Coturnix japonica: one gene and its partners. The protein of the gene in region 3 purifies or fractionates together with the protein of the main gene of each other region. This does not show direct contact. Links are inferred from orthologs where the notes say so. Each region holds a gene or a part of one and is shown on either strand. Other genes may lie near its edges.

The links.
Region 1: the proteins of HDAC3 (region 3) and XPO1 purify together in Homo sapiens (affinity purification with western blotting; 3 studies listed by BioGRID, with this or other methods). This does not show direct contact. The link is inferred for Coturnix japonica from reciprocal best matches to the Homo sapiens genes HDAC3 and XPO1.
Region 2: the proteins of HDAC3 (region 3) and ATXN3 purify together in Homo sapiens (affinity purification with western blotting; 3 studies listed by BioGRID). This does not show direct contact. The link is inferred for Coturnix japonica from reciprocal best matches to the Homo sapiens genes HDAC3 and ATXN3.

The regions. Positions count from the first base shown.
Region 1 is NC_029518.1:5,218,660-5,222,408, forward strand, and holds the end of XPO1 (exportin-1), read left to right. Parts: coding exon 1-77; intron 78-1,065; coding exon 1,066-1,200; intron 1,201-1,299; coding exon 1,300-1,459; intron 1,460-1,537; coding exon 1,538-1,634; intron 1,635-2,288; coding exon 2,289-2,435; 3' UTR 2,436-3,402; downstream 3,403-3,749. UniProt on the Homo sapiens protein: Mediates the nuclear export of cellular proteins (cargos) bearing a leucine-rich nuclear export signal (NES) and of RNAs.
Region 2 is NC_029520.1:40,426,682-40,430,430, reverse strand, and holds the start of ATXN3 (ataxin-3), read left to right. Parts: upstream 1-1,183; 5' UTR 1,184-1,271; coding exon 1,272-1,295; intron 1,296-1,430; exon of another isoform or gene 1,431-1,451; intron 1,452-3,038; coding exon 3,039-3,203; intron 3,204-3,749. Other genes in the region: NDUFB1 (NADH dehydrogenase [ubiquinone] 1 beta subcomplex subunit 1), read left to right, coding at 652-688. UniProt on the Homo sapiens protein: Deubiquitinating enzyme involved in protein homeostasis maintenance, transcription, cytoskeleton regulation, myogenesis and degradation of misfolded chaperone substrates.
Region 3 is NC_029528.1:14,733,362-14,737,110, forward strand, and holds the start of HDAC3 (histone deacetylase 3), read left to right. Parts: upstream 1-1,124; 5' UTR 1,125-1,221; coding exon 1,222-1,276; intron 1,277-1,472; coding exon 1,473-1,555; intron 1,556-3,749. UniProt on the Homo sapiens protein: Histone deacetylase that catalyzes the deacetylation of lysine residues on the N-terminal part of the core histones (H2A, H2B, H3 and H4), and some other non-histone substrates.

The DNA of each region.
Region 1 (3,749 bases), on a different chromosome or scaffold from region 3:
ACCTGCACAGTTCAAACTTGTTTTGGATTCTATTATTTGGGCTTTCAAGCATACAATGAGAAATGTTGCAGATACAGGTAAATTGAGGTTTTAAGTGTTAAGCATGTAGATTGCTGCTTTCTTGCATTTTTAGTCAAATATAGTGTTCCAGTCACACTGTATTTGCTGCAGAAGAACAGTATTTTCCTATCTCAATTTCAAGTTGACAACTAGACACCCATTAACGTACTGAAATAGTTGGATGTTTTTACTCACAGAAGAGGGCATTTGTTTCTGCGTGCTTTCTCTTTATAGAGTGTGAGGTTTTTTCTGAAATGGCTGAACCGATGCAACAGCTCATAGCTGGTTTTCTGCTTCAGCTTTCATTGTGCTGTTTGGAGTGTTTAACTTCTTCCCTCACTTAGGCAGTCTCTAAGTTACTACTGAAAAAGACAGCAGAAAAATGGTGAGTGAATTTGGTCTGGGAGACAGCTATGACATAAAGCAAGGGAAGTACTCCAGACTAAAGGAAAACTCCTTTTGAACAACAGCAAGTTACACTTCATCTCAGGTTTCACTGAGAAGCTATTTTTAGCACACCTGAGTAATTAAATGTCCTCTAGGATGAGAGTTCCCAAGAAAGGCTAGGAAAAGCTGTGTAAATGTCATAAATTCTGAAAGCATCTCAACCACAGGATAAAAATGATTGTTTTGAAGCTACCTCAATACTAGCTAATTGTTTATGTTTGTAAGATGCCTTTGTGTTGCATTTCAGGTATTAAGGTAACTGTTGGTGTGATTTTTTCCCTTCCTGAATTAACTAGTATGTCTTCATAGAGTTTCTCACTTTTGTACCAGTGAAATCATGTGGTTGGCTCTTCGTGGTTCTGCCTTCTAATAATGAAAACCATGTTGGTGCTCAGTATAAATGTGGCTGCCGCCCTCTACTGGCTGCTTGAATGATTAGTTTAAACTGCAATGCTTGTCAGAATTTCTTGGGATGTTTGTCTCACTTTGAAAAGACTTAAGGATGAATGGAGCTTTTGGTATAGTTTGGTTCATTTTTCTTTTATGCAAATTTTTCAGGACTTCAGATACTTTACACTCTGCTACAAAATGTTGCACAAGAAGAGGCTGCTGCTCAGAGTTTCTATCAGACATATTTCTGTGATATCCTTCAGCACATCTTCTCTGTTGTAACAGATACTTCGCACACTGCTGGTAAGATTGTGAACCAGGTGAAAACAAGCCTTTCAAACATCATAGTAATGTTGCATTTCTTGTTCTGAATAATAACATGTATAATTTTGATCTGTTCAGGTTTGACAATGCATGCATCAATCCTTGCATACATGTTCAACTTGGTAGAAGAGGGAAAAATAAGTACTCCATTGAATCCTGGAAATCCAGTGAACAACCAAATGTTTATTCAAGAATACGTTGCTAATCTCCTCAAATCTGCATTTCCTCATCTGCAAGAGTAAGTGTCCTGTAATTGTCTTATACTTTTGAGTGGATACTTACATACTGAAGTACTAATGGATGTATTTGCTGTTAGTGCCCAGGTTAAGCTGTTTGTAACAGGACTCTTCAGTTTAAACCAGGATATTCCTGCCTTCAAGGAGCACCTAAGGGATTTCCTGGTCCAAATCAAGGTATGTTTGGCATGGTTTCTTAGAGAATTGTAAAAAATATGTAGCAGGATGATGTTTTTAAGTTTTTGGACGGTGTTCATTTATAATAGGGCATACATTTTATTACTACTTAAAATTGTCATGGCTCGAGGGTCTAGATACTGGATCATGTAATCCATTTCAGTGTAATTTAATTGTATAGGTTAAGTTTAAATGCATGCTGTTGCTTATACATTGGTCATACTTACAGGTCTAAAATGGCCATAAAGCAGATCTTGTTTCATTTCTGCTTGGGACTAGGGTGTGTTTTGAAAGTTGACAGACTAGTGCTCTGCTTTTATTTTTCCAAAGATGCTAAAATTAAAGATGATTGTACGAAAGTACATGTTAAAGATGTTCTCAGGCTACGTTAGGTAGATATTTCAAAAACTGTAAAGAGACTGTTTTAATGATAAGGTCAAACAAAAAGCAATGTTACTGTACCATGATGCATGGTGAATATCTTAGAAATTTTTGTCTTAGAATCTGATCTTACATGCTGGAAGCAAAACAAGAAATAGTCTGACAAGGATGCGAAGGGAAGATGTTACCAACATTGTTTTTGATATTTTCAGAAGCTTATTGCTCTTCCTGATGCAGTTAAAGTGAAGTAATGGTTTTGTGTGAATTGTGCAGGAATTTGCAGGTGAAGACACATCAGATTTATTCTTGGAGGAAAGAGAAACAGCCCTTCGACAAGCTCAAGAGGAGAAACATAAACTTCAGATGTCTGTACCTGGCATCCTTAATCCACATGAAATTCCCGAGGAGATGTGTGATTAAAAAACAAGTTCTGCAGTTTTCTTTCTGTGCAGCCACTTTGTTGTGACAGAAGAAAACGGCACTTGGATATTTGTTGACCAAAATGACGCCAATTTGTAAATTAAAATGTCACCTAGTGGCCCTCTTTTCTTATGTGTTTTTTGTATAAGAAATTTTCTGTGAAATATCCTTCCATTGTTTAAGCTTTTGTTTGGTCATCTTTATTTAGAATTGCATGAATTGAAAATTATTGCATTTTCAAAGTAATTATTTCATGCCCATTTTTGTGGCTAAGGGGAAAATAGGCAAAACATAAATTGTAAAGGACTATATTGCAAAACTATACAATTTCCTGTAAGAGTATCAATTTTTAATTTGGGATCATTTTCCTTCTAGCCTGCTCTACAGTCTAGGAGAAAAAGTAATGAGTAAAACAGTTTTAATTAATTGTTAAGCAGAGGATTATAGTGCTGCAATTTTTCTGATCAATTAGCAGCTTTTTGGATTTGAGTGGGTAAAGGCTAGGCTTACATGTATTTGCAAGTTGTATGGCAAGTTTGCAGCAAGATCATGTGCATATCATCCCATTGTAAAGCAACTTCTAAAGCGTATGGGAACACAGTACAGTTAGTTATTTTTACACAGTTCTTTTGTTTTTGTGTGTGTGCTGTCGCTTTGTCGACAACAGCTTTTTGTTTTCCTCAATGAGGAGTGTTGCTCATTTGTGAGCCTTCATTAACTCGAAGTGAAATGGTTAAAATATTTATCCTGTTAGAATAGGCTGCATCTTTTTAACTACTCATAAAATAAAAAAACCCTCTGGCTTTTGAGATGACTTATACTAATTTACATTGTTTACCATGCTGTAGTGCTTAAAGAACACTACTTAAAAGCAAAATAAACTTGGTTTACATTTATTTTTCTTTCTTCGGCTTATTCTTTTATTGGATGAAAATGCTGTGATCGTATTAAAGGTTTGTATCCTGAAGGCATAGGAAATGGTCCTTGAGGTCTAGGTTACCATTCTTTCTGATTTCTCCTGATCTCAAGGCTGAGCTTGAAAGCTAACATGAAACAAGTTGGGTTCTATTTGAAAGTGTAGTTTTGACTTAACACCATGACTAAAAATACTCCATACTACATTGCTATAGAATGCCAGTAATAAGGTATTCTTGCTCTCAATATATGTACTCTTTGTGTTCTATTCCAAAGAGTTATTGAACTGTATCTTGACTAGAAATTCATACTGGTACATATTAATAACACATATAGACCAGATGTGCAGTTATTTTTCTACCTAAAGTTTTGTAGTTAAATAATTTTCACAGACGTATG
Region 2 (3,749 bases), on a different chromosome or scaffold from region 3:
GCCTTTGGGGTCTCATGTAAGAAACACCATCTGTTAACTCAGCAGAGGTTTATTTATAATTAATGGTAGGACTCAATCCTTTGAAGCTTTGGGTCGTAAAGTAAAAGTTTAGGAGGGCGGGGGCTGAAGCACCTCCCCTATGAGGACAGGCTGAGGGAGTTGGGTTTGTTCAGCCTGGAGAAGAGAAGGTTGCGGGGTGACCTCATTGCAGCCTTTCAGTACCTGAAGGGAACTTACTCCCAGGAGGGGAGTAAACTCTTCGAAAAGGCTGATAATAGCAGGACATGGGGAAATGGTTTTAAGTTAAAAGAGGGAAGATTTAGGTTGGATGTTAGGGGGAAGTTCTTCACTAGGAGAGTGGTTAGGCCCTGGAACAGGCTGCCCAGGGAGGTTGTGGATGCCCCGTCCTTGGAGGTGTTCAAGACCAGGTTGGATGGGGCCCTGGGCAACCTGATCTAGTAAATGTGTATGTTTGGTGGCCCTGCCAGGCAGGGGGGTTGGAACTACATGATCCTTGAGGTCCCTTCCAACCCGGGTCATCCTGTGATTCTGTGTGATTCTGTGATTCTAGAATCATTTTAAATGCTTGTTAATTATCCCACACCATTTATCCTAATTTTAGCCTCCACCCTTTGTTTTCTTTCCACACAGGGAGCTGAGACCCGGCGAAGAAAAGACCTGGAAATAAAGGCTGCTAATGAATGGGGGAAACTTTCTGCTCTGTTCATCACCTGATCTCATGCATTGAAACAATATGGTTATGTTTTTTCTCCTGAGACCCTACCAAGCTACAGAATAGAACACCTACAGTTTGTCACTGCTACTTTAATTCCTATTGTTACTTTATGGAAGGTGATCTATTATAAAGCTGTTTTGATTCTGTGAAGCCCATGGAATTGAGAAATATCTGCCCCCAGAGGTTCCGCTCTGGAGTTGGGGGAGAAAAGACGTCATGTAATAAAGAAAAAAAAAAAAAAACTATGCAAAAATAATTTCCTTTTTTCTTAGTCTGTGTGGTGTGGAATTAATGCGTTTATAGGTGGTTTATGAGCTAACCGAGGCGGTACCTCACACATGGCGCTTTATTAACTCACCGCCACACGGAAGGAAGGACCGCACGTTTCCGGCTGCTCCAGAACTGCGCAAGCGCGTCGTGCTGCCGAGCTGCCCGGACCTCCCGCCGCCAGGGGGCGCTGCTGCGGCACGGCGAGGCGAGCCGCGATTGGCTGCGCGGGTCATGTGAGGCGGAGGCCGTGCCGTTGATAATAAACATGGAGTCGATCTTCCACGAGCGGGTGAGTGAGGTGTTGTGGGGCGGGAGCGGGGCTGCGCTCTGGGGAGGCGGCAGTTGTATCTCCCGGCCTTGCGCTGCTCTGGGGCTGCCCTGTTCCCCTGCCCCATCTCCGGCGGGGCTGCTTCTCGTCTGTGGCCGAGCAGGAAGGCGAGCAGCGGTACGTGGGGCGGGTTCCGTGAGCTCGGACACCAAATCTGCCCGCTGTGGGTGTGCGGCGCTGTGAGGGACGGCATCGAGTGCTGAGCTGAGCTGAGCTTCCTGTTGGGAGAACAAATGCTTCTGGAAACTGCTGTGCTGTGTCAGGGCTCACACGTAGCAGCTGCCTGCGACCTCTGTTGTTACACTACAGTGCCCTTTATCTGCTTTGCCGGTCACTCTGCAGCTTTGCTGATATTTTTGTATTGTTTTGTGGGATCTGTTTAGGTGATACTGGTTTCTGTCCGTTGTTCTTATGCGTAGTAGTTGGTTTAGTTAACAAATAAATAGAGTTAGCTGTACAGTTCAGTGGGTTTTTGTTGTTGCTTTTAATAAGTTATTACATCAGTACAGAAGGGCCCTTTCAAAGAAATTAGAGCCTAAACTTGTAACATGACTCATTTTAACAAAGTTATCCCAGGCTTGATTTGTTCCTAATTATTTCATATGCTTCTGGTGGAAACAATCTGTGACCATTGGCAGGTCTCAGCTGTGTCATGGGGCCAGCAGCAGGAACGTGCTTCCAGCAGGGCAGGAGTTGCTGTTTAGTCTGGAGTTTCTTTTTGTGGGATAAACACAAGCTGGAGAAGCTGTGAAAGATGAGACTTTTGAATTCCATTGTACTTAGGCTGTACAGCCTGTCCAGCTTGAACTCAATATTCAGTTGAGTGGTGGTACCTTCAGAAGGGATTGTAATCTATAAAGTTTCAGGGATCCTGCTGTGAGGGAGACCAAGGGAGATTTGTGCACCTGACTTGTATGATGGAAGAGTGGACATTTAAATAACATTCTTACAAGGCACACTCTTGTATTCTTTACTTTCTGTGGAGTTTTAATTCTTTGACAATTTTGTTTTGTTTCCAACACCTTTGTCCTAATGCACATTCTTAATGTTAATATAAACAAGCATTGATGCAAAGAGGAAAGCTGCTTTTTATAGCTGATGTTAAACTTGTCTTGCACTCGTAGGTTAACTAACTCGCCTGTTATTTTTTAGAGAGGGATTGTTTTTCATGGGAAACTGTAATTCCTCTTTTTGCAAAGTCTCAATGCTCTGTTTTTCTTTAGCCACATGTGGAAAGCAGATATTTCCCAAACCTCATAGGGAACACAAGTTTAACAAAGAAAAAGAGTGTCCCTTGTGGAGAATATTTGTTAATGGGAATTAGAGATTTAAAAAAGAAAAGAATGAGTTTCTTATTTCATACAGTGATGATTTGAAGGGAGCGGAATCGATTCTCCTGATGGTTGCAAAGTACTTGTGTGACTTGGACAAACTGTAGGTGATTTTTACCCTGTTTCCCAAAACATTTTCACTTAGAATTTATTTTCTTCCAGGAAATATGTTTGTTTTCTTTTCCATCGTCAGATTAATGGAACATAGGAATGTATTCTACAGCTCACACTGTAATAAAAATGGAAAAAAATACAGTATTCTGGGAAGTGGGGGCTGGAATGAAATCATTGAATGTTTCTGCAGAGTGCGTCATTAACATCTATATGTTATTGCTTTTGACATAGTGGTGTTTTTTTCCTTTCCTAATATTAGCAAGAAGGCTCATTATGTGCTCAACACTGTCTGAATAATTTGCTACAAGGAGAGTACTTCAGTCCGGTTGAGCTATCCTCCATTGCACAGCAGTTGGATGAGGAAGAAAGAATGAGAATGGCAGAGGGAGGAGTGTCTAGCGAAGAATATAGAACATTTTTACAGGTAAAATCTTAACTTGACGTTGCATGATGTCTTCTTAAAATCTAATATTGTATAGCAAAGGCCTGCTATGCCTGCATAATTACAGAAGATTCATTTTCTAGTGCTGATGTTTTGGAAGTTTGCTGATATTTTCATTCAGGCATTTCAGGTTTGAGGTTTTTAGTGTTATTTGTACAGCTTTATAGTGCTTCTACAGGGGGCCGTGTTACCTTATCTCCTCATCTTAAGGGTAAGATGGTTAGGCATGGCAAGGAGAAGACTAAGAGATTGACTGTTTGTTTTAGTAAGCCAGGGGTAGAGACGGTAACAGAATTCCCTGTACATGTCTGTCCTTTAAGCAGTAAGTATTTGCAGCTTAAAAGTTTGAGTTATTAACAAAAATGCAAATGTTGGTGTTGTAATCAGCATACAGAGTAAAATATATTTCATTGTTGTTTTATGTATGTACAGTCATATTATTATTATTATTATTTTTAAGTGAAATTCTTTCTGAACTTTTATGCTGACACAACTTTTAACTTTCCTTCCTCCAACCTCATATGCTGA
Region 3 (3,749 bases):
GTATTTTCCTGCAATGGTATTGCAAAGGAGCCCCTGTGGATCCAGCAGCCCATGTTAGCACAAACAGCTCTCTCTTCTTCCCCAAAACATCCCAGCTGTTCAACATTCCAGTGCCACAACCTCCCTCTCTGACCTCAGTCTGGGAGGTTTCACCCCAAGTCTTCGCTGCTGCAAATGACACCTCTGGATCCTGCACCCAAATCCACCCTGTGCTCTTGTGAGCCCTGGTGACACCAGCCCCATCCCACCGCCACCAGAGACTCCTCGTGCAGCTGAGCCCATGAGGATGTATGCAGGTGGGTGACCCACAGCCCTCAGTTGTACCACCACCAGATCACTCTTTCCCATCCAGAAGTGGCCATAGGAGACCTGGCAGTGGCTGCAAAGAGCCACAGACCATCCTGCATCCCATGACTTGGGAAGGTCACCAAGTCACCAGTGCCACCCTTCTGTCTGCTGTCCCAGGACGGAATGGAAGCACAACAGCCCTGACAAGGGGAGACAATGGGCATGAGGCCAGGATGGCTGCTTGAGAGAGCTCCTGATCTCAGCTCAACACACTGCAATGACATACAGCACTGCATAGCCTGATGACTGGGACATTAAAAGTGGTTTGCTCTTTGCTTCTCCTTGCAGGTCCTGGGTTTTCCTGAGCCCTATAGTGAGGCTGATCCCCATCTGTTCCCATGCCCACACCATCCTTCACAATAAACCCCTTTCTGTTCCCTGGTGCTTCCGCCCACCCAGTGCATTTCTGCATAGCAGTCCAAGCAGGGGCTGCAATCAGTCCTGCTCACGCCATCCCCTTTCCCATGCCCAGGGGAACCCGCATGGGAGGAGCTGGAAGCAGACAAGGAGCAGACAAGGAGTGAGCTCTGCTCCTGCCAGGCACCTCACAGGGGTACCCCATCCCATAGAGCTTCTCCCCCATCCTTCTTTCCTTCCATCACCACTTATGGGGCATTACAGGGGTATGATGTGCTGGCTCTGGACCCAGGATTCCCCTAGACCTACATCCCCATTGTGCCCCAAACCCAAAGTCTTTATCCCCATAGGGTTACACTGCAGTGTCCTCATCCCCATGGAGCCCCGCCCCCATAGCGCTCTATCTCCGCCCATTTACCGCCCACATCTCGCGAGAGTTGACGCTCAGACAATCGCCATCAGGTCGCGGAGTGATGACGTAAAGGGGCGCGGGGCGGTGGTGGCGGCCTGTTCGTTATGGCGAAGACCGTGGCCTATTTCTACGACCCGGACGTCGGCAATTTCCATTATGGTGCGGGGCTGGGTGGGCACCGAGCTGCTATGGGCCCGATCCCGGCTCGGGGTGGGGGCTGCAGGGCGGTACCTGTGCTCTGGAGCGGCCTGTGCCACACTCGGGCCTATCCCCTGCTCCGGGCCTATCCCCTGCTCCGGGCCTATTCCTAACCTGGGCCTATCCCTGACCCCTGTATGGTTTCCCTTCGTTGCAGGAGCCGGGCACCCCATGAAGCCGCACCGCCTGGCGCTCACACACAGCCTGGTGCTGCACTACGGCCTCTACAAGAAGATGATCGTAAGCATCGCAATACGGGGGGATGCAGGGCACGGGAGGTGGGATGTGGGGCCTCCAGGCACAGAGCTGAGCTGCTGTCCCTCATTCCCATGTACCAAGCCCAGGTACTTCAATGCTGAGGCTTCACCTGCATTGCTGGGTTCTCCATTTGAACGTCCAGTTGGTTTTTCTTGTCCCCTTCAGCTCCGTACTCACTGCAAGAAACACATTGAGGCCCTGGAATGCGTTCAGAGGAGGGTTACAAAGCTGGTGAGGGGTCTGGAGCACAGAACGTATGAGGAGAGGTTGAGGGAGCTGGGATTGTTCAGCCTGGAGAAGAGGAGGCTCTGGGGAGACCTTATAGCTCTCTATAACTTCCTGAAGGGAGGTTGTAGTGAGCTGGGGGTTGGCCTCTTCTATCGTGTAATCAGTGATAGAACTAGAGGGAATGTTTTTAAGCTACACCAGGGGAGATTCAGGCTGGATATTAGGAAGTATTACTTCTCAGAAAGGGTAGTGAGGCATTGGAATGCACTGCCCAGGGAGGTGGTGGAGTCACCAACCATGGGAGTGTTCAAGAAACGCTTGGATGTGGTGTTGATGAATATGATTTAGCTGGGAAGTATTGGTAATGGTTGGACTAGATGATCTTCTAGGTCTTTTCCAACCTTGGTAATTCTGTGATACTGGACCCAGCAGGTCACAGCCTGCTCATAGATGTGGCTATAAGTCTGGGCCTGCCTGAGCTCTGAGGGCATGGTGTCACAGCTGCCTGTCAGTGCTGTGCTGAGCTGTTTCTAGCTGGTGCTAATGGGTGTCAAACTAATGGGCCTGGAGCTGCCTCTAGGCAGAGCCAGTAGTCAGCATGGGCTGTTTGTTATCATAAGCTGATAGAAAAAAGCCCTCCGGAGGCTGATGGCTCCATCTTAGTGCCTGAATGGAGTTTGTTCATCCTGTTCCATGCTTCATACATGTCTTTTAACATCCTTGCAACCCAGCCAGTTCACTCAACATAGTCCAACGCTTTACTGATGTTATGATTGGGGAGATGTTTTTTCTCCTGAATGCTGAGCTGTGTAATCCTGTAAAAACATAGTCAACATCTAGTGATGATCAAAAAGAAAGCTACTGGTTTTTTATATCTCAAGAGAGGAAAGGAATCTCACCACAAATGTGTGGTACCCGTATGGTGAAATACTTTGTTTCACTTGGCATAAGGGGCGTTGAGCTCAGCCCCTTTCCTGTGAATCCTTGTTCACTTTGCTGTCTGTTCTCTAGTACAGAGCAAAGAAAGCTCTGCAGTACGGGCTGCTATGTCTCACAGTACAGGAGTGAGGCAGGGGTGCTGAGAAGCATGTGCCTGCTCGATGCTTCTGAGATGGCTGCTGTACATTTCAACCTGCAGAATACTTTGTCTGAGCTGCTGAATGCGCTGGGGCTGCTTCCTTTGTTCTTAGCTGGCTTATTGGCACCTCAGCTCTGAGGGATTGTATCTGAACTGTTTTGGCTGCTTAGGGGTTTGATTCCTGTGCCAAGTGGCGCAGATCCAGGTCACAGTGTCTGATTCACAACCCAGGTCTGGCTGCTCCTTGTCCCCAGAGCCCGTCGTCTGCTTCACGTGCCCTGGGGAAAGGCTGCTCTCCATGAGGCTGTATGCTTCAGCTCCGTGCCTTTCTAGTTGTGTGTATCTGTATGCAAATGTACTTGCTTGTTTCCATGTACATACAAGGTGTCCTCTTGTGGGTGTTACCTCTTTAAAAGGACTGAAAAGCACTTCTGTCAGAGGCATCATCTCACATAGCACAGAAGGGATAAACCATTACTTTAAGGTATGGGGATGCTGCTGCTGCTGTCTCTTCCTTTGTGTGCTCACACACCCCATCTGCATTCCTCTGTCCCGTTGCAGTTAGGCCATGCTCTCTGTGACACTCCAAACCAGCAACTTCCCTGTAACTGGTGTCTGAACTCAGTGACCAGGAGATTATGCTGATGCAAGTGCACATTCCTCTGACAGCTTTGTGCAAATAACAGTCATTCCAGCTATGCCAGGAACCTCCACACTGCTGACAGCTCCCCAGCCTTCCTCTTCCACAGCATTAAAGCTGTCACTGCACTTACAAGGAACTGACGGGGTGTTTGACTGTGATAGCAGAGAAAGCCTGTCCTCAAAGGACACTTGTTCAAGCACTCAGGAATCAGTTGATACTAAAACCAG